Elephas maximus indicus: one gene and its partners. The protein of the gene in region 2 interacts with the protein of the main gene of each other region in a pairwise test. Links are inferred from orthologs where the notes say so. Each region holds a gene or a part of one and is shown on either strand. Other genes may lie near its edges.

Region 1 (10,352 bases), on a different chromosome or scaffold from region 2:
CATAATATTTGAATATCCTTTCTCTAGACATATTTAACAGTCTTGTACGTGTCATTCGATGCTTGGTATTCCTCATGAATCTCAACAGTAAACCAAGAAAGGAGAGCATTGGGGAGGCCAGTTTTTTTGATACTGACAGTGTCACCCTCACAGATAATGATTTCTAGCGGATAGATGTAACTCCTGATGGGTAGTAGCATCAGATCATTTAAAGTAGAATACTAAGGATGGCATTTAGTTTTTAACTCTAGTACTCGTCTGCTTGCTTCCTTTTGAGCTTGACCTCATTTCTTGGGCTGAGTACCCATATTTTTGTCATATCGTTGTCCTGTATCATCTTAAGGTAAATTTGATGATGAACTGAAAATTCCAGTAGGACAGAAATTCTGCACATCCCTTGTAAAGAAGAATTGAATTGTTCTTCTGGGGATTTCCTACCCAGGCCCTGGGAGCCTGCCCCTACTTCTCAAGCTTTCTATAATGATGATAGCAGTGACATAATTAGGTTTGGATGTCTTATCTCAGTGCCAGGAGAGCCAAAACAGAGCCACAGAACTTCTTAGAGGTACCTTGTCAGAACTGGTCATTCACTTCTCTTTTCTCCGTTTTGTAAATCCCTGGTGTGAGATTTTCTGTGGACCTGCAGAAAGGAGATGAAAGTTGTGGGCCTCCACCTCTGATTAATTTACAAAAACACCCACTATACAGGGACTTATCCTCTAGTTTACAACCAGGCTCCGTTTTATTTTTTTATATCAGTTTACACAGATTTATGTTTTCAAGAAACTATTTTTTTTAACTCCTTCAGGATGTTTATACTAAATGCAATTCATGGTCCTGGGTTGGAACCTGGACCAGAAAAAAAAATTTTTTTTGTTTGTTTTTGCTGTGAAGAACCTTGGGATAATATGCAAAACTTGCATATGGTCTATATATTGGATAATAGTATTATGTAAACATTAATTTCCTGATTTTGATAATTGTAATGAGGCTATGAAAATAAATGTTCTTAGGAACTGTACATTGAAGTGCTTAGGAATAAATGGACATAACTGTAACATAGTCTCAGACGGTTCATGGGGAAACATACGTCAAACGCATACATATATACATACATAGAATGACAAAGCAAACAGTCAAATGTTAACAGTTGGGGAACCTGGGTGAAGGGTATATGGAAATTCTTTCTACTGTTCATGTAACTTCTATGTAAATTAAAAATTATTTCAAAATTAAAAGATACTCCTTTTCCTTCCCACCCCCCCAAAAAAGATTTTTACTTTTCAGAAAAAGTTCTGATGAGATAACAAAATCAAGCTCTAGAACCTACAACCCTGAAAGCAGGACCCTGGTGGCTACAGAAGGAGCCTAGCGGGTGCAGTGGTAAGCTCTTGGCTGCGAACCGAAAGGTTGGCAGTTTAAACCCACCAGCCGCTCCATGGGAAAAAGATGTAGCAGTCTGCTTCCGTAAAGATTTACAGCATTGGAAACCCTATGGGGCAGTTCTGCTGAGTCCTGTGAGGTTGCTATGAATCAGAATTGACTCCACAGCAATGGGTTTTTGGTGGCTAATATTACCTTGAAGCTATCAACCTATAGCAGGGATGGAAAGTTGACTCTAAAGATGCTTTGCAAAATACTTCCTACTTAAAGGGAAATAGGTGACATGGAGGGTAGAATTTCAATTCAATGGGGAATGTAATTTAAGTACTTAGAATACTTGGCTGTTTGAGCAAAACGCTATGGGAACACAGTAGATAGATGCATTTTCAACTAGGGTAACTTTTCCCAGAGTGTTTTTCTGCAGGATCCTAGAAAAGGGTTCTGTAGTCAAATAATTTTGGAAACACTGTTTTAAAAGTAAACTGGGTTCAGTCACTGCCCTGGAGCTGTACTTCTCAAACCTAAGTGTGCATCAGAATCACAGCACAGATTGCTGCCCTTCCTGCCTCCCTGAGCTTCTGATTCTGTGGGTCTGAGGTGGGCCTGAGAACTTGCTAATGCTGCAATTTAGGGCCATACTTTGAGAACCGCTGCCTTTAGAGAGGAACTAGGTGAGCTGATGGATATGAAACACTGACACGGTGCCTAGCGCAAAGGAAGCCCTCAATGAATGTTGGTTACTCTTAGCTCACTGCTCTGCTTCCAGGGAGTTACCCTGGCGCCCATCTGATCCCAGCTTTAGACAGCTCTGCCACCTACTATTTGTTCCCCAGAAATGAATCTCTTAACCTTTTTTGCCAGCCTGGCAAGGCCATATCCCCAGCTGCTGCCAGGCATCTTTTTTTTCCATCAGCTTCTATACTAGTGTGGTCCCTACTTTCAGGAGCAGTCATTGTATTTTAAAGATCTGTGGTATTTCTTGTCAGCGCTGACACTGCAAAATGTCACCTAGGAAGAAGTACAGTCCATCTGCCAGCCCAAGACCTTTGCCGTGTGTGTGCGTGAGAGAGACTTGGAAAGATACTGGAACTACCTAGATGCTTAAGTTTAGGGTGCATATCAAACCTTCAGAGGACTGCTGGAGCTTAGAAAGGAGCTTAGAATTCAGTCCTAACCCACTGCCATCAAGTCGATTCCGACTCACAGCAACCCTGTAGGACAGAGTAGAATTGCTCTATAGGGTTCCCAAGGCTCTAAGTCTTCACGGAAGCAGACTGTCACATTTTTTTCTCCCACAAATTCAGTCCTAGCCCCTGCTTTTCAGGGAGCCAGGAGAGATGCGACTGAGAACATGGACTCAATTGATTACAGAGCTGCTACACTGTCCTGTACTTTTTTTGTTGTGTGCGGGTGTGCTTTTTTCAATGAGTTTCTCTCAGAAAACAAAGAAGGTCATTATCTGCTTTATCCTCTCCCTGTCCCCACACCTAGCAGAATGTTTGGCATATGGTAAAATTGGTGGGAGATGAGATAGGCAGATAATGGAACACATGAAGAATTGCTTTTTAAACATCTGATTTCCAGTGCCAAATGCAGAACAGGGTGGGTTAGGAAGTGGGAGGTAGGGAGGGCTGGGGATACTGTTTCTTGGCCATGTCTCAGATCGGACAAAGGATCAACAAATATGATCTCAGTTTCTGTATCAATATACACGCCCTCTCTAAGGTCTCCAATCTGTTTTGCATCTGGCAAAGCAGCAAAACCCCATTTCACAATGGGGCCAGGGGATTTAAAAGAAAAATCCTCCCTTTTTATAGCTTTTGCCCACAGTCCTGAGACCTGTTCTTTGCTGGAGCGGAGGGTCTTGGGAATTTTGGAGAACGGCAATGCGTTAGCCATTTTGTACCCAGAGTTGAATATTTGATTAAACATTTTGCTACCGGCTGGAAAAGAGGCAATTCAAGCACTCACGCCCATCAGCTGTTCCCAGTAATACACACCCCAGGGAGGAGTTACTTGGCCCTGTTTTCTCTACATAGAAGATTGCAGGAAATGCCTCTCAGAGCCTACGTTTTTCCTCCACATTCTGTAGAGCTGTTTCTGGGGTGTGGCCACGCCTTTTCCCTCCACTCTGATGGAATGAGAGAATGGGGGACTTTTTCCTTGCTATCATGGCTACAGCCAGGACAGCTTAGAAGCCAGACTGCAGATCCCAGGCACAGGGGAAGAAGCCAAACTGCAGAGGAGCAGGAAGTCCAGGCTGGGCCTGGGCCCAAGTTTTGGTGCACTGCCCCGTGCCTTTATATTTATTTAAAGAGGAGGACTGCTTGGTAACCAGGCAGCTGAGACCTTCTGGGTCTGCCTTGACTGCACAGGAATGATCTGGGTGTTAGACCCAATGGCTGTGACCCAGCTGTCACTGGAATGGGGGTGGGGAAAGGGTTTCCTAGTTACGGAGTTTAGAGCCAGGCCCTTAAACTGCTAGACTGTAAAAAAAAAAAAGACTGTAAGGGACAGAAATTCCAGGAATCCTCTTATTTTTGTCTTCTCAGCACTCAGGCATCCACCTGCATCACAATGCCTCCCTTTCCTATGAAAACGCAATATAGCATACTGTTTAAGAGAGCAGGTTCTGACTGCTTGGATTCAAATCCTAGCTTTTCTGCCTGCTGCCTACCTCACTTGGGCAAGAGACCTAGCCTCTGTATCAGGGTGCTTGTTTGTAAAATGGGGAAATAATATCTACTTCATACAATTATTGTAAAGATGAATGCAAAAAAGGTCATAGACACAAAGTGCTTAGAATCGTGCCTGGTATATACGCTAGGCTATTAGTGGAAACGTCGAACCCACCCAGAGGCGCCTTGAAGACAGGCCAGGCTTCGGCTTCCGAAAACCCCATGGAGCAATTCTACCCTGCACACATGGGGTCGCCGTGAGTCGGAATCAACAACATATTAGGAAGGTTCAATCGATTCTGGCAGAAAGAATCTTAGTGTCTTGTTTATAAAATAAGAGGAGTGCACCCTACTTCACTGATGACCTGAGAGAAAGCTTTTGCTGTTAAGGCTATTAAAAACCTATTTAGTGCTTCAAATCCCAGAATAACAGGCTTACACCCTAGTCACCTAAGTAGCTGACTTTATTTTTTTATTATCTGTATTTGGCCTTTTCCCCTTACCATCTCTTCCTCAAACCCAGAGCCCAACATCATCTCGGTTTCTTTTTTTTTTTCATCTCGGTTTCTTGATCCCAGCCCCCATCAGGGTAGGGCTGGGGGAAGAGCGGATAGATTTGGGTCCCCAGCACCAGCCCTGTCCTAGGGAAACTGGGCAGGAAAAGAAGCATATAGGTGATGTCACCCTTTGGGACTCGGCGTTCTTCCGGCCGGGGTGCATCTTCCCTAGCCAGACTGCAACGATGGCCCCTGCCCCGCCCTTCGCTGCAGTGCTGGAAGGGCTCCCAGGGGCGGAGGGGTGCGGTGCAGAAGATTCTCTGCAGTGTGGGGAGGGACAGGATTGGAGGATCTTTGCTGCGGGAAGGGAGGTGCGGCTCAAGCATCTGAGCCCAAGAGGGCGGAGGCAGTGACTACACTGCACCGTCATCCCCCACCCCCTGCGCACGCCCTACTTCCCCATTCGCTCGCTTCCCTCCCCTCCTCCCCGACATCGCTGCTTCGGCTCCTTCCGGGAGCACTCGGCCCTTTCCGCCAGGCGAAAGCGAGGCGAGACTGCGGGAGCTCCGCCCCCTTTGCTCCGCAGGCGCTCTCCCCCGCCCATCGCGCCGCGCCTAGGCGCTTTCCCCCGCGCTCGTGCCCGCCCGCCGCCGGAACGCGCTTGGCCGCCTATAAAAGAGGCAGGGCGCGCGCGCCGCCACTACCCGCTGCGGAGCGAACGGCGAGGGAAGGAGGCCGCGGAGGCACGTTGATCCCTCGCTGCCCCTCAGCCCGACGCACATACTCCTCTCACCCCCCAGGAGCTGGTGAGAAGGGTGCGGGGAGCTCAGAGCGGGAGCGAGGCCCGAGGGCAGCCGACCCCGAGTTGGAGAGGCGGGCCACAGGGAAGGGGCGAGTGGGGCCACCCCTGGGGCGGGGCCGGCGCGCGGACAGGTGAGCCGGGCGGGTCTTGCAGCTGCCTCCAGTTGGACGAGGTCGTGAGCAGCCGGGCGAGCCGGCCGCGACCGGCTTTGTGGCGCGTGGGCTGCAGGGGAGCCGCCTAGCAGAGCCCTGGGCGCCGGCGGTTGGAATGTCATTGACTGTGGCGCGGGGGAGGGGTCCAAAGCTGCTGGATCCCTCCCCACCCCCTCGGCCCGGCCTGGCTGCAGCCCCGCCCTGCCCCATCCGGCTGCGGCAGGTGGGGTGGGGACTCCCGCTTCAGGATCTGCACCATCCCCCCGCTCCTTGCAGAGCGCTCCTCGCCGCCCCCGATCCCTTCTGTCGGTGGGGAGCAACTCCTGCAGCCCATTTTTTCTAAATCACCGCAGGACTGAGGTCCAGCAGCCTTGCCGGTGCAACCCTTGGGGAAGAAGAGCCCAAAGCATAGAGTAAAGGGCTCTTTGACCCTGATTTCATCCTGTGTGGCGATTCTTGGCTCTCTCTCCAGACGCAGAGAACCCCGAGACTTGCCGTCTCGTTTTCTTTCCTTGTAATAAACATTTCTTTCCTCCCCAATTGTGACTTGCGTGTAAATAATAGGTAGATGCGGCGCTTGCTTTGTATGAGACCTGCATCAAATAATAGCTTTTTTTTTTTTTGAGAACGGCTCTTTTTGAGTCGACTGTAGTATATATTATTTGTCAAAAATTTTACAGCCATGCCGTGTTGAATGATAGAGAGCAGTCTTTTGTTTGAAAGATGTCCCTGCGAATTTGATTAGATGCTTCCCGAAGAAAATGGCTCTTAAAGGTCTCTTTAGTGTGTTGGAATAAAATCTATTTTCAATAAGGGGCTTTGTATTAAAGTTTGATTATATTTTAAGTGAAAGCCTGAATAGTCCAGAAAACTGGGCTGTGATGATGTTTGAATTGCTACAACACCTTGTCAGATCTCTTTTATATAATAAATCCTGAAATATATAGGCCCTTTGTGCTGTCTTCATCATGGTATTTTAGAAAAGGTTACAATTATGATGGTGAGAGAAGGATAGAAGAGAGACCATATGAAGTATTTTCATCATGTGTTGAGAAATTGCGTTGTCATAGCAATTGGACTAAAGTAAAACAGAATGTATCAAAGATGGAAGGATGGGGGTGTCTTGCAGCCAGGGAACAGAAAACCTTAAGAATAACTGTGGGAACACTCAGCCGTATGAAACTATTAAGCCAAAATTCCAGCTCCTTAAACCAGTCATTTATTTTCTGTTTCATTGCAGTTAATGACTTAGATTTTGAGAGGTCACATTGAAGTCAGAGTTAAAAAATGTGCTGCAGTAAAAGTGGCTCTGTGCAGGAAATTAACAATAATCCTTTTTTAGTAACTGGGCCAATAATTACTCAAAGGGACCCTCGAAGTATGTTAGCTGTTATCCAGGGACCGAGATGGAGAGAATCAAAACGAGATTTGCTCTGTACTGGACAGGTGTGAAGCAGTTCTTTTCGGTAAACTGTCAGTTTAGGAACTAATTCTCGGATATGCTTTTGTCTTCTTGGCAGTGTGTTTTGTAGCAATTCAATAATTGGAGAAATCTGGTATGTCACAGGCTCTAACCTGAGCTTGTCAAGCAATCTGATGAACAGGTTTAGGTGGGGAGAGCTGTTTTACGCGTATCTTTTGGTTCCCTGGCTAGAATTTTCTCTGTTTTTCCTACCTGCCTTCATCCCAAAGGGGCGGGGGGCCAACTGCAGATCCAGAGAAGTGGATCTCAGGAACAATCTGCCACAGCCCTGTCATTGCTGAACCTGACCTTGTAATCAATCCTCTGTGGGCTATGCGAGGACTCCGCTAGTTGTGCACTCCTGTCTGCTGCAGCCTATCAGCTGTGGCTAGCCAAGTACAGTAGAAGAATGCAAGGCCCTGATGACAAATGCTGACTTCAGGAATGCTGAGGAGGAACGCGTAGCTGATCACCTGGGCCATTTGACTGGAGCAGCTGTGCTGGTGAACCATTACCTCCCTTCCACCTTTTTTGCATATTCCTCTTGTACAAGTTTCGAACAGGAAATACTATTTTGGAAAGAAAGTTTGCCAGCAAAGTAGGCCCCAGTCAGATCTTTGTAGCCTGAATTCTTTCTTGTTTCTGATGGCTTCATGGAATCATGCTGTTTTGTTACTGAATGGAAGGGAGTTTGGGAATCATCTGGTCCTGGGATTCTCGGTTAATTTATCAGAGTGCTGTTTAGGGGGCGGGCACGTTTAGTTTTAAAAAGTATATTCAGTATTACAACTTTATTTGACAAGTAGCGAAACTGAGGTACAAAAGGGAGATGTGACTTGGCCGAGGCAGCATGCCTAGATAGATAGTAACCACTAAGATCAGAGAACCTTAGTTCTCTTTCCATATTTTAAGTCCCTGGTGGCATTTAGAAACTGTATAGAATGTCAAAGAGACGCGGGATGGGAAAATATCTGAAAATGGATTTTTACGTGAATTCATGTATTTTTAAAGATCTACTTTATTCATTTTGAAATTACTTTGTCCAGTTTGCCCTTAGAAGCTTGTTGTCTTGCTCTTCCCCCTCCCTCTTTAGACTCCACATTCCTCCATCATGTTGTCATCGTTTCGTAAACGCAGAGTCCAGGTATTTGCCCAGCATGCAGGAAATGTGTTGCCTTTTCGGTTTTGCCTGGCTTGCTGTGAAGACACGTTTGTGTCAAAGAGGTCGAATGATCCAAAGAGAGGGGGAAAAAAACCCTGTCTGCATGACCTTCTATTAAGCAGATTGGTTAGGGGTTTCCCCCCTCCCTCTTTTTTTTTTTTTTTTTGGTTTACGTGATCAGAGGTCTTAGTAAATGTACTCTGAAATTTCCAAAGCCTCCCGTTTTTTACCTTCCTCTCTTTAAGGCATGAACATATTAATTTCTTCCCACCCTACTGGCGTTTGCATGTAGTGTTGCTGATTTTTTTGATGGTTACTTGGTTCTTAAGAACCAAGAGACTAAACAGATTATCCCAGAAATTTGGGGGAAAAAAATCTGGAAACATGTAGTAAAAATGCTATTTTAAAAAGTTTGACAAATATTGTAAACTTGGGTTTTTTTCCTGGTCCCATTGTTTTATTTCTTCTGCTACAACCCCTGTAATAAAATGGAGCTTGCATTTTCTTATTAAAAACAAAAACCATATGTGTGTGTTTTATTGGTGTACAGTTTTTTGAGTGTTTGCTAAATTGGACCTTTTTCAAAAAGAAAAAAATCCTTAAAATTAATATGTTGATCTCATGAGAAAAATAAGCTTTGCAAATTTCTAGTGATTATAGGTGATAAATCAAAGACAGGCCTTTTTATAAACCAGACGGGTTAATTATTTAAATGAGGTTTATAAAAATTGGCCATGTTACACCCGTTTCGTGTTTTGAATCACAGTAACAATATGATGCACTTAAATACCTCTCATCTGAATTTTACAGGTTAAAAGGTAAGTAGCAGCAAGATAGTATTTGGGAAGCATTCGGAAGTAAGTTTTCTCAACGTTGCTCTGCATTTCTGGATTTTGATGGAATGCAGTATGGATCTTTTGCTTTCTTAGAGCTAAGTCCCTGCTCACCCCTGCAGAATTGTGCTAACGAGTTGAAATGAATTAATCAATTTGAAGGCTGAAATGTGACTCCACAATCCTGATTGGAATGTGATTTGAGCAAAAACATTTGTTTCTATTCATGGCATTAAAAGTCTTAATTTATGTATAATTTACCTCTGTGCTTATCAAATCTGCCACTAAAATCTGCAACTAAGCTGGTTTTGAGTTAATTTGTTTGATTTGAGAGTCAGTTGGTATAAAATTTTATGGGTGCTAACCAATTCTTGGGTGGTTTGTTCTGATGGGGGAGCCCTTCGACGTTCGTGGATGTAGTTCTCTTGCTTTGCAAATCTAGTGGTAACAGGCTGGCTTTCTAAGCCATGGTAAAATAGCATTTGTTGGTTCTGCACATTTGGGCTCTGACTAAGCAACAAAAACAAGACCGATAAATGGCTTCTGTGACCTTTTGCTTTGGGTGATGATCACGAATTTTTCCATAGAGCCAGAGGATCCGTTCGTCCTTTCTTTCCAAAGCAGTTTATCTGGTGTCCTCCCTGAAGATTGAAATTCGTATGATACTTAGTGTTCCAAATGCCTTTTACATCCCAGCATATTCCCCTTGCTGAAAGAATGGCAGTCCCAATGCTTTTGTTTTTAATAGACTTCTTCCATCTTCACTACATTTTTTTTTTCTTGGGTTCCATAGAGAAACTGTAATTGCTGATTTCTTCCGCTGTCCAAGATCTGTTTGAGGGAGTCCTAAACAACTCACTTTAGATGCCAAGTTTGCAGAGTCCAAAGCATTTGACCTTTGGTTTGAAAATGTATCTGTAGTCTTTTGTATTGCTTAACGCTGTATAATTCCCACCACTGCCCTCCCCCCCAAAGATAGAGACATCCCCTTACATAATGGGGCATATAGCTTCTGTAGATTAGATTATGGCATTACAAAATTTCCTAAGCATAAGAACTGCCTCAAACAGTTGTCTTTTGGCATTTATCAAGAAGACAGAGATATTAATTAATGTCTAGTCTCTTTAGGGAAACCCCAGTGATGCAGTGGTTAAGTGGTACGGCTGCTAACCAAAACTAACCAAGCAGTTCGAATCCACCAGGCGCTCCTCGGAAACTCTATGGGGCAGTTCTGCTCTGTCCCTGTACAGTCCACTGTAAGTCGTAATCGACTCGACAGCAGTAGGTTTTCAGTCTCTTTAGAAGGAATCCATTTTCAGTTGATAACGTTTATAAATTTATGCTGGATATAAGGAGTCATTCTTAGGCATGCTAAAACTTTGG
Region 2 (10,763 bases):
GCTCTCTCCTTACCTTCTCTACTCCAGCCACACTGCAGGAGAGCCCAGTGCCAAGCCTGTTCCCTTTTCCCACCTTGGGTCTTCCTACAAGTTATTGCCTCTGCCGATAATGATCTTTCTCTGATATTTGTACGGTTGGCCCCTTCTTGTCATTCAGATCTCAGCTGAAGTGTTTCTACCTCAGAGAGGCCTTCCCTGTCACCCATTCTAAACTCGTTGTTGTTGTTAGGTGCCACTGAGTTGATTCCAACTCTTAGCGACCCCATGTGACAATAGAACTGCCCCATAGGATTTTCCTAGGCTGTAATCTTTATGGAAGCAGATCGCCAGGTCTTTCTTCCATGGAGCATGGCTGGTTGGGTTTGAACAGCCAACCTTTCGTTTAGCAGCCAAACACTTAACCATTGTGCCACTAGGGCTCCTTCATTCTAAACTTGTTGTTGTGTGTGGTCAAGTTGTTTCTAAACTTAATAACCCCTAAATCACTCTCTGGTATATTGCTATATTTTTATTCTTGTTCGTGTTCATTTAGTATCTGAGTTTCTTTGTTAGAACTTCACCACTGTGAAATTGAGGGCTTTCTCTGTAGCACCTAAAATGTCTAGCATACAGTAGCCCTTCAAGTATTTGTTGAATGAGTGAAAGGATAATTTCAATAACCTGGCACAGATATTTAGAAAGTGCTTCTTTGATGAGGGATGTTGATGTAGACTGGAATGCAGATATAATTACCAGTAAAGCCTACTTTTTGAGTAGTGGTAGACTGGAGATGTAATTGTGTTTGCTTTATGGTAGACTGCCTCTTTTTGGTAGCTTTTAGTTTAAATTGAATTCTCAACATAGAGGTAAGGTATGGGTTTATTTAAAACTTAAAGTGAAATAGCACTGTAGAAATTCTGTTAAATTATGTAATTTGGGGGAAAGACCTAATTCAGTGTGTAGAGCTCAAATTTAAAATTTCTTATTGATTCAACAGGATTTTTTTTAATTTGGTTTTGTTTTAATTTTTGGAATGGTTATTTCAACTGGAATGAAAGAGCATCCAGTAGATTCAAAAACATTTTCACTGAAGACCTCAGCTGTGCCTAAGAATGTGCTGTACCTTGTGAGGCTTAGAAAGCACTAACAACAACGGTTCTTGCCAGCGGGCTTGCCACAATTCCACACGGGAGAATATGGGGACGATGGCCCAAAGCTGAGGTCCTGGGTGGCTCAACCTGCTGGTGCAAAGGTTCAGCGCTCAGCTGCAAACCAAAGCAGTCTGCACCTAGCCAGTGGCTCCAAAGGAGTAAAGTCGTATCTGCTTCCATAAAGATTACAGCCTAGAAAACCCTCCGAGGCAGTTTTACCCTGTCGTGGGGGTTGCTGTGAGTCCCTGGAGGACATACAGCAGCAGGTGGCCTTAAAGGTCAGTCCTGGGTACTGGCCTTGCGTTGCGCTGGGTTTATCTTGAAGCTGCGTTTGCGTAGCAAGCATGCTGTTGTCACTCCTATCGTATGTGTATTTCTAGGGGTAAGGACTAGTGTCTGATGAAGGTTATGGGGATCTAAACTGCACGCCTCCCCTTGTCAGCCCCTTTAGTCCCTGTCCCCAGTGACTCTTACCTTGCTAGAGCCTAAGACATGTAAGTGGACAGAGGTTACTCAGCACAAGCAATGCGTAAGATTTTTAAGTGGTCATTGACGATCATAGGCATTCCGGGGCCTTAAAGACCGCTCTAGGCTGGTCTGGGTCAGGGTTTTGAAGCATAGGCGCTAATATCAGCTCCCATCTATTGTGGTCAATGTGTGCCAGGCATTTCATCCCCACAGCATCCCCACTGAGTAGGTGCTATCTTTCCCACATTAGGTTGAGGAAACTGAGGCTTAAACTGGTAAGCATTTGCCCAAGGCTCCTCAAGTGGGTAGTAGTAGGGCTGGTTCAGAGCCATACCATTCTATCACTGCTTGTGGAGAGAAGGGAGAAAGCACTGTGGACGGGGGGACAAGGGGATCCAGAAATGGAGGTGGGATGAGTAAGTGTGCCAGGGCTCAGCGAGGAGACAAGCCTGGCCACCAGAAGATTCTGGTTGGCAGCTGTGGAAAACAGACTGAAGCATAGAACAGGTCAGTTTGTGGAGTTGCTGAGTGCCAAGCTGAGGGGCTAGATGTTGTTCTGCAGACAGTGAAATAGACTGGTGGGGTTTGAGACTGGAAGGTGCCAGGGCAGGTGACCGTGTGCAGGAAGGGAGTCAGACTGGGAGGGAGACCAGGTGGAGATGGGCAGGGTCTGCGTTAGAGTGGTAGAAGTGAGACTAGAGAGAAGGGGACTGAAGTAGGCCATGGAGGACCCTGTGGAGTGCTTCTTGTCCCCACTCAGTCCCTGCTCATTTGAAAGATCCTTGGTTGGGCCATGAGAAGAGAAGAGTGCTTTTAGTCATGAATGTGTCTGATCTTCAGGTAGGACTTCTACCATTTCATCTCCACGCAGCCCTACAGTGGATGTGCATAGCTAGAAACATCACGAGCGTTTGAACTCTGGATTCTGCTCACACACGCTCAGGCTTACTGTGCTGCACACGCATCATGGATGAGTTCCTACAACCCAAAAATAGTGGGAGAGGAAAACAGGACACAGAGACTTAAACTCCCAGGTTGTCGGTCTGCACATCAACTGTAACGGGACTCATACCAACAAGCTATAAGTGCCCTTTCTTGGAAAACTGACCATTTTATAAGAAAACAGGAGCCCTGGTAGCACAAGAGGCTAAGAGCTCAGGCTGCTAACCAAAAGGTTGGCAGCTCACATCCACCAGCCGCTCCTTGGAAACCCAATGGAGCAGTTCTACTCTGTCCTGTAGGGTTGCTGTGAGTCAGAGCCAACTTGATCACGGGGGTTGGGGTTTTTTGGTTTGATATGAAAAGACATGTTGCTTGCAAAACTAAGGTACATGCTAAGCTAAGGACACTTGTTTCAAATGTTCCCAGTTGTCAGTGACCTAGGGTCCCTCCACGTTAATGACTGTGCTTTGTTCAGTATCTCCATGTCTGTGTTTTTCTGAGAAGCCTCCGGAAGTGTGCATGTCCAGTACTTGCAGTAGGGGAGTGTTCTGCCAGGTCAGCAGGGGCAAGTCAGGAGGCTTTTATTCTTAGGAATGAGACTGGAAAGAGGAAGTGGACCTAGATTACCCAGGGTGAGCATGCTGGCTTTAGCTCTAGAGCCCCACAGAGTATCAGTGCCGGCGGGACCACTGGAGTCATCTGGGCCAGGTGTTCTCAGGCAGACTCCAGGTTTGTCTCTAGTGGAGAGTGGAAAGGCCTAGCAGCAGGGGCTCTGTGGCTCTGCCGCCCCTTCTTCAAACAGAACCATCCACTGTCATCAGTTTTATGTATTGAGGTTCCAGGTAGCTGCTATCTTAAAACACAAAAGGCTAAGAAGTGAATATCTGGCTGTTCCTTCCTGGTAGAAAGGGAAATTAAGTCCCAGAGTAGGAACCTATTTTGTCTGAGTCCTGAGACATTGAAGATGACCTTGAACGACTTTTTAAATCATTGTGTGGTGATAAAAGTCCTTTATTGGGCCTTATTCTGGAGAGGAGTGGAGCTGTCAGGCATCATGGACCCTCATTTGTGACACCCCGGTTTCTGACCCTTTGGTGTTACCAGTAGTTGAGATGTCAAGGATCTGTCTAGTCTTGGAAGCAGGCTGTTTTCCCATCTGGTCCCAGCCCTGTCTCAACTCTTATTTCTACCCCTTACTTCCTGGGGCAGCTGAGGTACTTTTTCAGCCTTTAGAGGTTTCTTGCCTGGCTGTGAAATTGGGGATTAGACAGAGCCAGCTGGATAAAATAGCCCAAAAGGTTCACAGTATCCCAGCCCCTTCTTGGGTCACAGGCTGCCTAACAGTCTGTTGTAAAGTCTTCTTTTAGAGCCGGCCTGAGACAGATCATTGGTGTTAGGATGCCAGCGGGACACAGGGGTCCTGAGGCACTGCTCTGCTAGAACACCTGTATGACTTTGGGCGACCACTTTGGCCTCTGTGTCCTTATTAGCATATTGGGGAATCTCTAAAATTATGTCTAAATTGCTGCTGGCGTTTGGAGATTTTTCACCATTTCTATCAACTCTCCTCTCTATTAGGACCTTGTGAATTGCCTCAAAAGGTATAACCAGCTCTCCAAGAGGAGGTTCTTGAGTCACTGGTGAAAGACAGGCATGGACTAGAGGTTCTCTGTTCAACTGGGCCTTCCACTACACTGGGCCTGCCTCGTAGGCACTGGCAAGGCCTAAGCAGATGAGAACAGTTCCCAGCAAAGCAGTTACTACCCTGTCCTTGAGTTTGTGAAGTATTGGCAAGGTGATGCCCTGGTATCTTCTTTCCCTCCAGATGCTTATGTCTGGTTGATGTCCAACTGCCCCTTACCCATCCCACCTATGACTATACCCAGGTAAAAACCAAAAAACCAAACCCAGTGCTGTCGAGTCGATTCCGACTCATAGTGACCCTACAGGACAGAGTAGAACTGCCCCATAGAGTTTCCAAGGAGCACCTGGCAGATTAAAACTGCCGACTCTTTGGTTAGCAGCCGTAGCACTTAACCACTACGCCACCAGGGTTTCCATACCTAGATAGTTTACAAATAAAAATATCATATAGTTACGTTTGGTCTGGCCAACTGCTCTTGCTAACTCTTGGGTAATCTCTACTGCTTTTTGTTTTTTAAACCTAGGATTTAGGACTGGGACTAGACATGATGGATGGGTGGATGGATGAGTGGGTGGGTGGATGGGAGTGGATGAATGAGTGGATAGGTGGATGGACGGGTGGGTGAGTGGATGGGCGGATGGATGGATGGATAGATGATCTCCCCTTTCCTGAGAATCACAGCACAGAAATATGTTGCTGCCCCCCAAGATGGAAATGCACTACCAATGAGCAGATGGACACTTCAGTGAGGAAGGGGACCTCACCATAAAGAAGAGCACCCAGAAATCAGGGCTGTTCAGCGAGAGGCTGTCTTGTGAGATAATAAAGACCATGAGGAATGTCTGTGTAGCTTTACTTGCCTGATAAAGAACTTCCAGCCATCTTGTGAGAGAGGTGTGGCCAGTGTAACCCTTATTCCAGTTTCACCTGTGCAGAACCCAGTGCTCAGAGAACTTAAGGAAACTGTCAGCAGTCATGGAGTTTGTAAGTGGCAGACCTGGGACTTACAGCCGGGCTATTTAATGGCTCCGAGTCTCCCATGTTTTCTGTCATATCAGGATTCTGCCAAGAAGCTGCTGTCACTAGACAGTCTCAGGCAGACACCTGTCAGGAATACTGGCGAAGGCATTCCTCCGTCAGCTTAGTCGATGATTGCTATATGGTTTGCGGGACCCCAGGATTCCCCAAAATGTCTCCCTCACTAGCCAGTCTGCCTCCGTTTGCCTTTATGACTTCGTTTCTTTGAGTCAAGCTCCAACGCTAGCTTCTCAGAGAGCAAGCGAGCGAGCTGGGTGGAGAGGGCGTGTTCACCCGGAGCACCTTCATGTGAGTACATGTGCTAGGTCAGGTTTCCCCCGGATAGAAAGCAGGGCAAAAAGAGGCACACTCAGGAAACCTTTTTAAGTAACTCTGCTTTGTCGAGGCCTGCCCAAGGCAGTGGGAATACAGAAATGAATCTCACACAGTCCCTGCCCTGACAGAATTCGTGGATCTGTGGGGGAGGCAGAGAGAGTGCTGTGATCGGTGCAGTTGGACCAGAGAGGAGTGAGAGCGGCTAACTGTCCCTGGGACTCCTCCGGGCCCTGGGCAGGAGCAGGCAAGGGACAGTGGGCAGCATGGGGGAGCGGGGGGAACGTGGAGCAATCTGACCCAGGTGGCCCAGGCACCCAAGAAACGGAGTCCTGGCATATTCTGGGATCTGTGGATGTCTCATGAAGAATTTTAATGGAAGAAAGAGTAGGAGAAATCCGTTTTGACTTCATGGGGGCGCCAAACTAATGCAGGGCTCAAATGGGGCGGGGGATCAAGGCCAAATTTAGGACAACTGCTCAGGCAGAATTTTCAAGAAGGGACGCCAGGAAGAAGACTAGGAAGGAAACTGAGACATTAAGTGAGAAATTTTGAAGATATGAGCTGAGGCAGTTGGGGTGGGGGCGGGCAGGACCGGTTCAGAGGAGCCTTTCTGAGACAGAATTGGAGTTAGTGACTGGTTATATTTGTAGTGTGAGAGAGAGAAAAAAGAGACAAGATGACTCACGGGTTTTTATTTGAGATTTGTCTCCCTTGTTTTATAAAGATTTGCAGCCCAAGTGCTGGAGAATCTCCGCAGTGGCAGGTTTCGGAATACCTCCTCAGCCCACTGCCAGATCTGGCCAGCTTGGGCTTCACAAACTGATAAACATTGCTCTCTTTTTTGGCTGACATCTCAGTTCCTTCTTCTTAACTTCTGTTCTGAAATTATTACAGCAATTACTGCACTTCAAGGAACTGTTAAGAGCCCGGTACACATTCGACACTCAGTAAATGAATAATCAAATAAAGGAGACACTAGCTCTGAGTGACAGCCAAGGTCATGTTATTCATGGTAAAAGTGGGGGCGTAAAATGTGACTTTTGTGATCCTGAAGCATCTTAGGCGTTTGTGCAAAACAATGTTTGGTAGAGGGACGGTAAGGTGCCGAATTTTAAAGACTCTCGCCGTGAGCTGCCTTTCCATGTGGTGCAGCCCAGGTTTCACTGTGTACCGTTTGTGCTTACGATGTTGGTCATGCCTGATCATTACAGCAGCCGCCACGGGAAGATGAGGTAATGAGGTCGACCACAATGGAACAGGTTGCCTCCTCGTTTCTTTAAGCTGCAGAATTCTGGTGGGGGGAGGTGGGATATCTTACCTGATTTAACCAGGATCCCGGCATGCCCAGGTCTGGCCGATTTCCCTGGACTAATCCAGCTCCCAGCCTGGAGTCTAGGCATACACTGCATTCATCAGACTTGCTGGAATGATCACATGGTTTTCTAGCTGCCTCCCCTGTTAGCTGCCGCTTGTCAGCAGCTGGCGGAGCTGGAGGCTGCAGGCCCCTGTCTGCAGAAAACCTTCTACTTCAGAATATTGGGGGGTGTGGGAGCCCGCCTCTTTTTTCCGGCACTTCACCCCATCACACTGACTAAATGGTTGTCCTCCGTACCAACAAGGCTGCCAGACAACCCGAGGAAGCTGTCTCTGACTAGGTCATGTTTGCATTTGAAGAATTCAGGTACGTTCTGGGGTTTCTACATCAGTGTGCTGCTGGGTTTTTGTTCTCACTGGGGTTTTGCTGTGTAATGATGGACAGCTTAGGCTCTGGTTGGTTCTCACAAAAAAGGGGTTTTCTCTTCGGCATTTGGTGGGGTGATCCTGATTGTGGGAGGTGTAGAGGTGGGCCAGGTCAGGGATGCTTACAGCATGCAAAAGTGCAGCATGGATAACTGGTTTTATCCTGTGCAGATTTGCCAAGACCCCACCTTGTGCCTCATGGAGCTGCTGTTTCGGGTGTGGAGTTACGAATACAGAATAGTAACTGTTTATCCAGAATGAGTCTCTCGCTATCTTTTGTGTTTCTTCCTTTGTCAAGCTCACGGAGTCTGTTGCCCCTTGTAAAAACGCCCATTGTAACAGTGAAGGTGAAATGTTCCGTAAGTCTGTCTGCAGAGTTGAGATGTGCTTTTGGCTCTGATTTTCCCCGTTATTTTTAACAACAATCTAGCGGCTGGGTGGTTTTCTGGGACGTGCCCTGATGATGTTTTGTTAACAGGGTCCTTTGCTGTTGCAGGTCTTTCAGCTGCTCTAACTATTAATGCCCCAAATTAGAGCCTTTGTGAATCTCACCCCTCCCGTCTCTTTCTTCTCTTCTGCTGGAGTCCGTCCCTGGGTGTGAACGTGGGAAGGGATGTTCCAGCAGAGATAGTTTCTAAGAAATGAAAATAGAGGAGGCGGGATAGGAGGGCGATCAGATCATCCCTGTTCACGTCTCCATCTCTTTGGAGCGTATGCACCTGCGTCTGCTTCCGACCTCTGGCAGCTTCTCGCTTTTCAAATAGAATTTCTGTACCTTTTAGAACTGAGCAGAAATACCATATTGATGGGCAAAGAGTGATCGTGCAGGAACCTCGGTTCCACCTCTCCGGGCCCTCTTTGTTCCCTCCAAATGCTGCTGCGGTAAGACATGGCGATGATAATAGAATAACCACCATTTATTATTTGTAAGAGGAAACTGGAGCCCTTTTAATCGATCGGGGCAGTAGATGAGCGGACGGTTTGGTTTTCTAAAGTAGGGCTGTAAAGGTTGTCCCGCCCTTTTCTGTAAACTTGGTGCTCCGGGCCCAGGAAGTTACCCTTGTCTCAGAGTAAGCCTCTGCATTATTTCCAGCAGACTGGGATTGTGAAAAGGAAATGCTTTCCATGTGGCACCATGGTCCAGTGACGTGGGGCCTGTGCCCTTACATAGGATCATTCCATTAGATAATTAACAATAATTTATTTCCTGCCTGCCATGCTACAGTGGCTAGGCTCTTGGGGAGTGAATCAAGAGTCCTGGGTTCTAATCCCAATTTCAGAAGTAGCTTTTCTGATCCTTGAGTGAGTTATGGAAGAGTTTTGTAAATGTTGGAAGTGGTAGCGATTGTGAGGTTCATATTTCATTGTTAGCATTTATTTCCAGACAGAGTAAGCTGTAGCTACCTCCTTAAAGACAGCTTGGAACCTTTAATTTCATAGTTGGGGAAGAGGGCATATGTATTAACAAACCCATTCCTATTGTGGCGGGGTCCTCGCCTGAGAGCCAAGAGTGGGCCTGAGGGACTGGAGAGGGTAGAGTTAGAGGCCACTGAACAGGTGAATTGAGAAAGAGAGGCCATGGTTGTGGAAACTAGACTCAGAAGGGGAGGTCTGTTCCATCCCCAGCTGTAGGCCTCTGCTTAAGTTGGCCCTAAGTAACTTTGCTGAGTATGCTTATATTTTGTGACTGCAGCATGGTACCAGACAAGTGGTTTCTTCTTTAGTCGTGAGGTTTGTATGCATGGGGCCAGGTGATCAAGGTGGGAAACATAGGGGCTGTGTAGGAGCTCAGCTTGTTAGCTTCAGTCACAGTGGTTCTCAAGTGTTAGCATGTGTCACAGTCCCCTGGGAGGCTTGCTAAAAGTCATGTGGCTGGGCTCTACTCCTGGACTTTCTGATTCAGTAGGTCTGGGGTAGAGCCTGAGAATCTGCATTTCTTTTTTTTAATTTTTATTGTGCTTTAAGTAAAAGTTTACAAATCAAGTCAGTCACTCACACAAAAACTTATATACACCTTGCTACATACTCCCCCTAATGAGACAGCCTGCCCCCTCCTTCCACTCTCTCTTTTCATGTCCATTTCGCCAGATTCTAACCCCCTCCACCCACTCATCTCCCTCCCGGGAGGAGATGCCAACATAGCCTCAAGTGTCCACCTGATCCAAGAAGCTCACTCCTCCCCAGCATCCCTCTCCAACCCATTGTCCAATCCAATCCATGTCTGAAGTGTCGGCTTTGGGAATGGTTCCTGTTCTGGGCCAACAGAAGGTCTGGGGGCCATGACCACCGGGGTTCTTCTAGTCTCAATCAGACCATTAAGTCTGGTCTTTTTACGAGAATTTGGGGTCTGCATCCCACTGCTCTCCTACTCCCTCAGGGGTTCTCTGTTGTGTTCCCTGTCAGGGCAGTCATTGGTTGTAGCCGGGCACCATCTAGTTCTTCTGGTCTCAGGCTGATGTAGTCTCTGGTTTATATGGCCCTTTCTGTCTCTTGGGCTCGTAATTACCTTGTATCCTTGGTGTTCTTCATTCTCCTTTGATCCAGGTGGGCTGAGACCAATTGATGCATCTCAGATGGACGCTTGCTAGCGTTTAAGACCCCAGACGCCTCTCTCCAAGGTGGGATGCAGAATGTTTTCTTAATAGATATTATTATGCCAATTGACTTAGATGTCCCCTGAAACCATGGTCCCCAAACCCCTGCCCCTGCTACGCTGGACTTCGAAGCATTCAGTTTATTCCGGAAACTTCTTTGCTTTTGGTTTAGTCCAGTTGTGCTGACCTCACCTGTATTGTGTGTTATCTTTCCTGTCACCTAAAGTAGTTCTTAACTACTATCTAATTAGTGAATACCTCTCTCCCACCCTGCCTCCCTCCCCCCTCTCATAACCATCAAAGAATATTTTCTTCTCTGTTTAAACTATTTCTTGAGTTCTTATACTAGTGGTCTTAAACAATATTTGTCCTTTGCAACTGACTAATTTCACTCAGCATAATGTCTTCCACATTCCTCCATGTTATGAAATGTTTCACAGATTCATCACTGTTCTTTATCAATGCGTAGTATTCCACTGTGTGAATATACCATAATTTATTAATCCATTCATCCGTTGATGGGCACCTTGGTTGCTTCCATCTTTTTGCTATTGTAAACAGTGCTGCAGTGAACATGGATGTGCATATATGTTTGTGTAAAGGCTCTTATTTCTCCAGGATATATTCCAAGGAGTGGGATTGCTGGATCTTATGGTAGTTCTATTTCTAGCTTTTTAAGGAAGCGCCAAATCGATTTCCAGAGTGATTATACCATTTGACATTCCCACCAGCAGTGTATGAGTGTTCCATTCTCTCCACAGCCTCTCCAATATTTATTGTTTTGTGTTTTTTGGATTAATGCCAGCCTTGTTGGAGTGAGATGAAATCTCATTGTAGTTTTGATCTGCATTTCTCTAATGCCTAATGATCGTGAGCATTTCCTCATGTATC
Region 3 (11,202 bases), about 50 Mb from region 2:
CATTTTGCCACACAAATATTTGATGAGATGTACCAGCATACAACAAAGCAGAATTTTTCTAGAATACTTTGATAATGAAGGTATATCAATTGATTGTTTATTTTAAAATGTTGCTTACAATGCAATTCTTGATTTTAAAAAAGGTAAGAGAAAAATAACATTAGAGACAAGATTCAGAATGAATAACCAGTCTTTAGGATAGAAAGGAAAAGATAATCCTTGTTCAACAGCACAAGCACAAAAGAATATAATACTGATAAAACATACCAGGAATTCAAGGAGAATGTTAGCATTTAGAAATATGAACTGCTTAAAATTACATGTAATAATAGTGGTTCTGTTGTTTCTGTTGTGTGAGCCATTCATTCCATTCTAACTTGTCTTGACCCTGTAGGACAGATTAGACCAGCACCATAGGGTTTCCTAGGCTGTAATCTTTATGGGGAAAACCCTGGTGGCCTGGTGGTTAAGTGCTATGGCTGCTAACCAAGAGGTTAGCAGTTCAAATCTGCCAGGCACTCCCTGGAAACTCCATCGGGCACTTCTACTCTGTCCTATAAAGCCACTATGAGTCGGAATCGACTTGACAGCAGGGGGTTTCGTTTTTTTTTTTTTTTTTTTTGAATCTTTACAAGCGTAAATCTCCAGGTCTTTCTCCCAGGAGCCACTGGTGGGTTCAAACCACCAAATTCTTGGTTAGTAGCTGAGCACTTTACCATTGTGCAACCAGGTCTCCTAATAGTGGTTCTAATTACCTATTTTTAAGTCTAAAAATCATTTTTGTGTATCAATGCTTTATACAAACCTAAGTTGGATAAAGGGATATAGCAAGTGTGAATGCTAAATTAGGAGCCCTGATGGAGCAGTGGTTAAAGCACATTGGAACCAACAGTCGCTCTGCATGAGAAGGATGTGGCAGTCAGCTTCCGTAAAGGTTAGCCTTGGAGACCCAATGGCGCAGTTCTACTCTGTCCTACAGGGTCGCTAGGAGTTGGGATCAACTGAATGGCAGTGGGTTTGGTTTTAACACTAAATAAAAACTATTACTAGATATTTACAAGGCCACTTTGTGCATTATTATTTTACATGTATTTTGAAGATCAGAACCATAAATATCTGAAAAATATTTTAATTTGGTCAATTGACAATAATGAATTTCAACCAGTTGTTTATAAAACAACTTAAAAAATAAACTTTAGCCAATTTCCTTGAATGTGGAAGATGTGAGTTAGTGCCTGAGGGAAACATTTATTCACAGGATTTTCTTTATCAGTAGAAATGATTTATTAATATGATAGAATATTAATGGACACTTTCAGGTCTAGTAATAACTTGTATCCATAAATAACTTCCTAACTTTGGAAGAGCTACTTAGTGAAATTCTTTGCTCTCCTATGTTCTGAAAGACATAGGAATTCTGGCCCATGAGCTTTTGTGGAGAGAGAGTTATCATTAACTAAAACAGACTACATGAGAAAATTGTACATTAACAGATTAATTATCTTGTTAAGGAGATAAAATATAAAAGTAATGTTTTTTGCTTATCTAAAAGATGACAAACCCATTGCCGTTGATTTGATTCCAACTCATAGTGACCCTACAGGACAGAGCAGAACTGCCCCACAGGGTTTCCAAGGAGTGCCTGGTGGATCTGAACTGGCGACCTTTTGGCCAGCAGCCGTGGCTCTTAACCACTATGCCACCAGGGTTTCCAAAAGATGAGAAGTGAATGTTAAAAATCTGTCATTCTTCTGCCTTATTTATTCTTGGCAGTTTAATGCTCCCAATATAGACGTGAACAAACATTACACCAACTTCGTATTTTAGAAAAAAACGTATGAGACAGAGAAGAAATGGTCTTTTTTTTCTTTCCCCCATGAGCCACCCCAAATCAACTCTCTTCCTTGCCTACTTATTTTCTGTCCTAATGTTTATAACATAATTCCTTTTTTAGCAGACATTCAAATTTCAACCCAGTCAGCACCATATTGTCTACTTACAACTTCCATTACTGATAAAACGAATGGTTTAACGTTGCAAATGTATACTGGGCTTGACAGAGATAAAGGTTCCTTTTAGTCTTAATGAATAAAGTATAGGCTCCTCTCCACAGAAAAATAATGCTCTGACTCCACCATCCTAATTAGCCTGTGGCTCTAACTTCTTTTTCCAGACAAGGCAATTAATTTCTCAGTTCCAAGGATACATTTCTGGAGCAATTCAACATTGACTATAGATAGCAATTTAAGAGTTGAAATCTTAATATGAGGAAAAAATTGGCTGTAAACTAAAGTTTTAAAAACTTTCAAAATTAATTATGTCTTTCTTGTTTTTTACTTAAATCAAAGTGTTTTTTAAAAAGTGGCAAGTGCCTAGTGGGGCTTGATTTGTACTGAATAAAATTTCCATCAGTACTAATATGGTTTAATAGGTTGTATGTAAGAATACAAATGACTGGAAACACAGGTCCCATTCAGTTGGGATCAGCAGTTGAGAAAACCTCCACTGCTTGCTGAAAATGGCGATATTTTATTTTTCTTGTTGTAAATAAAACATCAGTGTTCCAGCCTCAACCTCAGGGCCCCTGTTCCAAGGCCAGGCTTTCTTCATTTCCCAGGAATGTGGGAGACCTCTGAGCACAGGGCCACAGTGGAGGCCTGGAAGCACCTTCACTGCCCTGCCTCATCCTTGGGCTTGCACGTCCTTGGGCTTGCAGCGAGGTGACGGAAATCTCCCTCCAATAATCTTAAACCCCCTGCTCTGCCCTCCTCACCCCCAACTAAATGGATTGCTTAAAAAGTAAAAGTCAGATTTAGGCAAATCTCCTCAAGGATGGTTTCCTTTCTTCTAAGCAGCGGTGAGCAAAACATTATAAAGAACTCTTTCCTCACAAAGCTGATTTTCTAGTTGGAGGGGAAGGGGGAAAGCATGAGACAATACAAAAGTAAGATAATAATTAACATATATAGCATGCCGGAAAGGGTAAGTACTATGGAGACAAAGCAAGGAGGGAATTAGGGGGTGTCTGAGGTGGGTGGCAGCAATTGTGGTCAGGAAGATCTCACTGCGAAGGTGATATCTGAGCAGAGATTGAAGGAGGTGAGAGTGAGCCATTTGGATATAGGGTTTTGGGGAAGAGCATCTCAGGCTGAGGGAAGAGCAAATGCAAAGACCATGGGGCGGGAAGGTGCCTGGCTGAGGTTGAGAAACAGCAAAAGCAGTGTGGTTGCACTGCGTGGGAGGAAATGAGGTCGGAGAGGTTAAAGGAGGTGTACGTCATGCAGGTCCTGGTAGACCATTCTAAGGACGACTGAGAAACGTGGGGAACCTCTGGAGGATTTCGATTAGAGGATGGCATGACCTTTCTAACAGGTTGTTAAAAGCACTCTTCTGGACACTAGCCTTGATGGAGGCTCTGTCAAAAGAGACCAGCGGGATAAATCTGATAGCAGGTGTCACAGACTTTGTACATGCAACTACTGAAAGAGGAAAAGAGTCGAATTCTGGAGCAATGGGTATTTGGGGGTGGTTGCTGGAGGGGGTTACCCTGGGAGGCGTAGCTGCTTAGCTTTCGGGCCAAGATTGTGCAGAAACCTCTAGTCTTAACCACTCTTGTCCCACATCTCCACTTGGAGGGTCAGAGCCACCGCCTGCCGTGTTGCCTTGGCGACCACAGGCCAACCCCCCCCCTTCTCAATCCCTGGCTCCGCCTCCTGACCGCGAGGCACGGGGACCCGGCGTCTTCTCAAGCTGGGAGGCCGGGCCTGGGCCAGCGCGGGCTCATCAGTATTCCGCTGCCGGAGACTCCCCCAGCCCCGCCGTGAGTCACAGCCCCTGTCAACCCCGCCATCAGCGAGACCCCAACACCTCTGCTCCTCCCCTTCACCCCAGGCGGAGGCTAGAGCCCAGCAGCAGGTCCTGCCCTCGAGCGTGCCGGGTGTCCCTGGGCGTTGACACGCCTGTCCCTAGCTATGCAGAGCTTTTCCGCACCCCGTCCACAGCCAGAGGCTGCAGGTCCGCCGCGGAAAGGGGGCGCCCTGGGCCCAGCTCGCGAGTAGCGCACCCCAGGAGCCTTGCTTCAGGGCATCCCCGCAACAACTATCTGGGGACATTCAACTCCCCTGAGCGCCGTTAAAGCACCGCCGCGCTTCCTGCAATGCACCAGACGGGGGAGGCAGACATCCGAGGCCCGTTCATTGCACCCCCACTGGGATGCACTGTGAGCAAAAAAGGTAGACCGTCTACTGCAAAATCAGAGGGTCGGAGGCGCGGGGAGTTAGGGGTGGTTTTTCTTAGGACTCACCTTGTGCAGTTTCCACATGGCCCCCAGAGCCTTGACTTCGTGACTGGAGTGTTTACCCTCCTCCAAGCACTGGTAGCAAACGGGCATCTTGCACTGCACGCAGTACATGCTGTGGTTTTCCAGCTCGTGGTCTGTACAGGTGGAAACCTTGCGCGGGCTCAGCCGCCGGCTCACGCGGCCCTGGGCCGGGGGTACCAGACGGTGCTTGGCCAGGGGCCCCCGGGGCGGGTGGCAGCGCAGGCGGCACGGATCGCAGTAGAAGACATCGCACTGTTCGCACATGACGGTGGCCTCCTTGGGCGCCTTCTCGCAGAGCTGGCACTTGAGGGCCGCAGCTTTGCTCTGTTGGTAGCGGTCAATCACCCCTTCCAGGACGCGATTCTTGGGGAAGCCGCGGAGCCCCCGGTCATCCAGGATGAGGCTGCGGTGGCACTGGGGGCAGGTGATACAGGAGTTGCGGGGCACCGGGGCCAGAGCCGGTGACAGGTGGGTGGCTGGTGGCGGCATAGCCGGGGGGAACACGCGGACGCCATTGGGGGACCTCTGGCATGGGGTAGTGGGGGCGCTGGCGAAACCCCCGTAGGAGCCATAGCCGCTGTCCGCCTCGCTGTACAGGCTCATCTTGTCCAGGTCCAGATAGTCATAGTCGGAAACCCCGGAGCCCGAGGCCCGACGGCTCTGGGGGGACTCAGACTCCGGGGTCTGTACCAGGATGTTGCGGGCGCACGCCTGACATAAATTGTGAGAGCAGGGCAAAATGATGGGCTCCCGGTAGAAGGAGCCGCATACAGGGCATTTTAACTCTTCTTCCATCTCTTCCATGGGGACCGGGTTTGGAGCGTTGCAGTGGTGCCTGAACTGGCGAGGTGGCCAGCGGGCCCGTCGCGTCCAGCACCTTGGCCAGCGGCGGCGGCAGCTGCAGCGGGAGTGGTGGCGCCTTCCCGCGTCGCCTTGGCGCGGACTCCCAGCTAAGCACTTGCTCTGCGAGCCCAGGAGCCGCCGCGCCGCGCGCCAGCCCCGGAACGCCTTCTTCTGCCCTCCTAGTCCCGCCCCAACCTCGAAACAGGGGTCCATTGGACGGCGGGTGACAGAGAGAAGTTCTCATTGGCCACGTGCTCCGTCCGTCCCATCCCCTCCGCAGGCCCCCGGGGGTTTAGTGGAGGAGTCTGAACGTCAGGGGAGTCTTTGCTCCCAGCAGCGTGAGCTCGGGAGGGGGCTGGCTTGCGGAGGCGAGGGGACCGAGAAGGAGGAATTAGGCGGGATGACTCATCCTTCGCCCCGCTTGCTTCCGACCTCCGGTGCAGTCACCCAGGAGCAGGGGGCGTGAGAAACCCCTCCCAGTAGCGAGTGGGCTGGCTGAGGGAGCGGGTGCTTCTTGCCAACAGTTTGCGTTTGGCTTCCAGCTACGGTCTCTGCGCCGACCCACCTTCTCTGGGCAGTGCTGCGCACCGCCGGCGGCCCCCCTCCTGCTTCCCCTGCTGGCGGCGTTAGCAGGCCCCTCACCCAGGCCTAGGTTTCTGAGCGGCTGCTGGGCGTCTCTCCCCCTCCCTAACCCCCCGGAAGCTGGCCGCTGGAGCTCCCACATCCCCGGAGTCTGATGGCGATGGGCATGAGCCCCGGGAAGAGAGTCCCTTGGCTTTTCCGAACCCCAGTCCTTCGTCTCTAAAAGGGGATTTCCTAGTGTTGCGGTGAGATTTAAACCAGGTAATCTATGTAAGGAAACCCTGGTGGCGTAGTGGCTTAAGTGCTATGGCTGCAAACCAAGAGGTAAGCAGTTCAATCCGCCAGGCGCTCCTCGGAAACTCTATGGGGCAGTTCTCTGTTCTCTAGGGTCGCTATGAGTCGAAATCGACTCGACGGCAGTGGGTTTTTTTTTTTTTTTTTTTTTTTGGTTAATCTATGTAAAACCCATTGCCATTAAGTCGACTCCGACTCATAGCGACCTTACAGGACAGAGGGAACTGCCCCCATAGCGTTTCCAAGGCTGTAAATCTCTATGGAAGGCGACTGCCGCATAGTTCTTCCGTGGAGTGGCTACCGACCTTCCGGTTAGCAGCCAAGCGCCTTAGACGCTGCACCACCAGGGCCCCAGTCAATGTAAAGGCTCAATATATGAGTCAAAATTTATACCCTCTTTATTTTACGCTTTAAATTCGCACTGGCCCAAAGGCCTCTACGCTGTGGTGTGGATGTGCCTCTAGCCCCTCTTCACTCCCCTGCCTCCCAGTGCTGTTTCTTTATCAGCTCTCCTCAGCTCCTCACTGAGCTTCCACGAGGCCAGCAGGGCTTTCGTTCAGCTGAGACAGGAGTGGTGGGTCTGTTTCTGAGTGACCTTAGTTTAGTAATAAATCTATAGATGAGTCACTCTGTCACTGCAGAGTCTCAGTATTTGAATCCAAACGCCAGTATTAAATGGCACGCCTCCTGAGCATTGACCACAGCCTCCGGCGTGGTGGTTTCTTTCTGTTCCCTCCAGTGAGGTATGTGGTGATGCTGATGGTAGTGATGGGGAAAGGGGGCTCTAGTGCTCGTCCCTGTATATTAAGTACCCCCTCCCTACACATGGCTGAAGATACCTGGTCCTGCCCCTAGTCTGCAGAACTGTTGATTTGATCAGGGAAGGTGCCTCACAAAGGTTTTCTAGACAAGTAACATTCTGAGGTAGCAACTTATTTGTAATAGTACATGGCTGCCTTAACTGATTCATGAAGTAAATGACAAAAACTCTTTCCAAGTTTTAAGCAGTCTTCCAATTTCTAATCTTCCAGAAGAGAGATAACTTGATTATTCATGGTTACATTTATAATTTTGAACCAGTTTATTGTTCAGGAAAAAATCGATTTTTTTATAACTTTGCCCTTGGAGAACTAGTCCAATAAACCAGGTTCTCTTTCCAGCACCTTCTTCAGTTGAAATGAAAGCAGCCTTTAATGATCCTTGGGTTTGTGGAAAGGCCTCATTGTTAAAGCCATCTTAATCACAAATGCTATGCAATGTATTTTTAACCTGGCTTTTAACTAGTTGAGCCTGGAGCATCAAAAAGGGGTATGTACCCTGTTTGCAGGCATAGAAATTTTTCAAGTGTGGTTGAGATACCTGAACTTGCAGAATACATCTAATTTGTGGGCCCCAAGATAATTTGTTAATAACAAGTAGTTAATTATTGAAAAACTTAGAAAGGAGTGTCAGTGCCACTCATTTATGATCCTTTCCATGACTGCTGTGTTAATTTAGCCCAAAGCCACAGTAGCCTTTGACTTGTGCTTTGAACAACTCAGGGTAAGCAGCTCTTACTCTTTCTATGCCTTTGAACTTTGCTCACAACAGTATGTGATCTAAGAGGTCTGTTTATTGGTAGAAAACAATGCTTCGTTGAAAGTAAAGGCTAGCATTAGGGACTATCTGAGACTTAACAGCACTGTCGGTTTCGCAAAGAGCCTTAATAGACTAAAGTCAATATACAAAGATTTGCTCTATTATGAAGTATCTGCAGATGATTTGTTAGGTCTATTTGGTCAGGAATTAGAGAAATTAAACCAGTCCCAGGAGAGCTGTTAAAATGACTATCATTTGTCGAGCACTTACCTTGTTCCAGGTAGTGGGTTTGTTTATGTACATGTATTACCTTTTTTTTTTTTTTTATTACCTAGTAATAACATAAGAAGGTGGCACAGTTATCTCTACAGATGAGTAAAATACCCAAGGTCAAATATTGGTGAGTCTGGGATTTGGACCCAGGCACTTGTGAGTTTGTTCCTTTGTTCATTTATTCATTTGCTCACTCATTCAACAAATGCGGAATTCTACACTGTCTCAGGCTCTATGTGATAAATATCCCAAAATGTCTTCGTTAACCTCCCGGCTATACTGCCTTCTTTTCCTGAGAGTTGATTATTTCTCTCATATTCATTTCTTTAAAGATTTTCCTCTTATGTGTACTACTTGCTCATAACGTACTTTAAATCCCCCCCCCACCATGAATTGTGTTTGAAGGGGAATAAAAATCTGCATGTAATTGATGATATTACAGAAATACTATACCATTGGGTGAATGTCTTTCCCCTTCCAGCTGGTGAACAGCCCATACCCTGAAGCAGGAGGATTGATAGCCCTGTAATTTCGTCATTCCTGGGATGGCTACAGATGTTCTCTTTTGTGTAAAGTGCTTAATCATCCCCTGAAACTTACTGAACTATTCACCCAAATGATGTTTCTTGGCAATCGGTTGAGGAAATTTAAAATGCACTAACTGCTTTTCCATTCTTTAAAGACAAATTGCTTTCCAGTGAAAAATTAGTTGCTTTCCTATTTGCTTATGACTACAGTGCTTGATTATTAACACACGATTTCTTTATTCTAAAGAAATGACCACTCACAGAAGAAAGGGTTCTCCCCTTCTCTCCACATTTTCCCCTAGAGCCATCTATCCTTAGTTTTAGGGGAAAAAATCAGTGACAGCAGCTGTCCATATGCTTTGACACTTGAAGATCCTCTGACATGTAGGAAAAAATATTTTGTATTTACTTAGTGATTAAGGGTATTGCTGGCTGTGGTTTGTAAAAATTGCATTATTTGCAAAGTGATGGATGCGATGTTTATATTTCAAAAGAAATTATGATAAGAATTCTTTTTACAGAGTAACTTACTCCATTAATACTAAATTTTCTACTTGTAATATTTTGTACTATTCTTAAAAAAAAACCACTGCCGTCGAGTTGATTTCAACTCATAGTGGCCCTGTAGGACAGAGTGGAATTGCCCCATAGAGTTTCCAAGGAGCGCCTGGTGGATTGGAAGTGCCCACCTTCTGGTTAGCAGCCGTCGCACTTAACCACCACACCACCAGGGTTTCCATACCATCCGTAATAACTATATATTTCTTTGGGGTTAATATTCTTTTGTCTTTTTAATTATTCAATTATTAAAGTAAGAGCCTTTTGCCCATTTAGTACTACTGGAAAATGACCTTAATCAAATTCTGTTGTATTTCTATCCATAAGTAATATGTTCCTAATATTTTGGGAAGGACAGGCAAAAGAATCTGGGAAGATGGAGGTTTGTGAATCCTGTATTAAGATAAGAGAGTTGAAGGATAAGTCCGGGAGACAACACTTGTGAATAATAGGTATCCCAGAACTAGGAATAGGCACTGGTGGAGGAAAAACCATAACTGAAGAAATAATTATCCTAAACCAAGGAAAGATACGAGATTGCAGATTGAAAGGCTTTTAGAATTACAGATGACATTGGTGAAAAGAGACCCAGCATATGCAGATACAATTCTTGAACTCCAAGGGAAAAAGAAAGGAAAAGAGAATCTTATAAGCTCCCAGACAATGAAACATAAAGAAAAAAATCATATTGACATGTTTTCTTTCTGTGACTTAAAGGCAAGAAGAATGTGAGAAAAACAAAACAAAACAACTACAGCCTGTTAAAAATAAGAGAAGGTATCCTAAGTACTTTATAGCCAACCAGGAGATCACTGGCTTTTCAGGTCAAAGAAAGATATTTCCAAGAATTCAGAGAACATAGCACTCACATATTCCATCTGAGAAAAGTACTTGAGAAAAGATTTTAAACTAAGTAACAAATGAACCTTAGCTAAGTCTTTAGGTTGGATGAGGAGGCAGTGGGGAAGTAAAAGTATTCTAAGGACCTGATATTATTGAGGAGAAATAGAAGAGGAAAAGGTGAGAAATCAAGTGTCTTTGTTGGAGGAATTACTTAGTGTCCTCTTTTTTTCCCCACATAATGGTAAATAAATATATGTATGGTTGAGGCCTGGGAAAAGAAGCATAACTATTAATATAATTGAAAATACAATAAACTAGAAAAAAACAGAACAAAACAAACAATCGAACTCAGTGCTGTCGAGTCGATTCTGACTCATAGCGACCCTATAGGACAGAGTAGAACTACACCACAGGGTTTCCAACGCTGTAAATCTTTATGGAAGCAGGCTGCCACATCTTTCTCCCATGGAGAAGCTGGTAGGCTCCAACCACTGACCTTCTGGTTAGCAGCTGAGTGCTTTAACCACTGTGCTACCAGGGTTCCAAAAGTACAATAAGACCTGAAAATCAGCAAACATTGGGAAAATACTATATGAAACTCTATGATAACAAATTTGAAAAGCAAGAGGAAATGGATAGTTCCTAGGAAAAAATATGTTAATTAAATTAATCCCTCCTAAAAAAATATACATTAGACCAACTTCCATAAAGGGATTTGAAAGGTAGTTTCAGATTTATCATTTAAAAAGGCATCCAAATTAGATGTCTGCACAGATTGGCTCTAGCTAATCTTTTAAAAACAAGTAATTTCAATGTTATTGAAATAATTCTAAATTCAAGAAAAATATAAAATGTTCCCCAATTTTTATAAAGCTGTCATAACTTGAATAACAAAACCTGATATAATTAATAGAAAACAAAATAAATTGAAAACTAGAAACCAGAAACACCAAAGTAATAGATATATAAGTGCTAAATAGGTTATTAGCAAATGGATTTTGGTAATACATAAAAAAAGTAATGAACTATGACCAAGTAGGGATTTTATCTGGAATGCAAGTATGACTATCATGAAAATTATTAACACAATTTAAAACATAAAAAAATTAAAGGAAGAGAACTCCTTCTTCTGGTTATATGGGAGTAATCCTTCCATTAATGACAAGAAAACAGGACAAGCTATAGGAAACAGTTGGTGTCCAGACACTGGGTAATAGGCAGCATAGGATTATAATTTTTGAGAGAAGGCAAAGAAAGATGTGAACCCTTCCTTCAGCCAGGCTTTCTACCACATGGCAATTTCCAGATTGTGGTACAGGGAGGAGAAATCCAAACAAACCTTAACAATCTCCCTCAGTTGAAGACACAGAGATTGGATTTTGG

What was found.
Region 1: the proteins of EVL (region 2) and SPTAN1 interact in binary tests that used the Homo sapiens proteins (3 or more experiments, as listed by UniProt). The link is inferred for Elephas maximus indicus from reciprocal best matches to the Homo sapiens genes EVL and SPTAN1.
Region 3: the proteins of EVL (region 2) and TRIM9 interact in binary tests that used the Homo sapiens proteins (3 or more experiments, as listed by UniProt). The two-hybrid records come from large-scale screens. The link is inferred for Elephas maximus indicus from reciprocal best matches to the Homo sapiens genes EVL and TRIM9.

Annotation. Positions count from the first base shown.
Region 1 is NC_064827.1:79,559,392-79,569,743, forward strand, and holds the start of SPTAN1 (spectrin alpha chain, non-erythrocytic 1), read left to right. Parts: upstream 1-5,209; 5' UTR 5,210-5,364; intron 5,365-10,352. UniProt on the Homo sapiens protein: Fodrin, which seems to be involved in secretion, interacts with calmodulin in a calcium-dependent manner and is thus candidate for the calcium-dependent movement of the cytoskeleton at the membrane.
Region 2 is NC_064828.1:113,343,304-113,354,066, reverse strand, and holds the start of EVL (ena/VASP-like protein), read left to right. Parts: upstream 1-6,386; 5' UTR 6,387-7,196; coding exon 7,197-7,219; intron 7,220-10,763. UniProt on the Homo sapiens protein: Ena/VASP proteins are actin-associated proteins involved in a range of processes dependent on cytoskeleton remodeling and cell polarity such as axon guidance and lamellipodial and filopodial dynamics in migrating cells.
Region 3 is NC_064828.1:63,338,730-63,349,931, forward strand, and holds the start of TRIM9 (E3 ubiquitin-protein ligase TRIM9), read right to left. Parts: upstream 5,378-11,202; coding exon 4,304-5,377; intron 1-4,303. UniProt on the Homo sapiens protein: E3 ubiquitin-protein ligase which ubiquitinates itself in cooperation with an E2 enzyme UBE2D2/UBC4 and serves as a targeting signal for proteasomal degradation.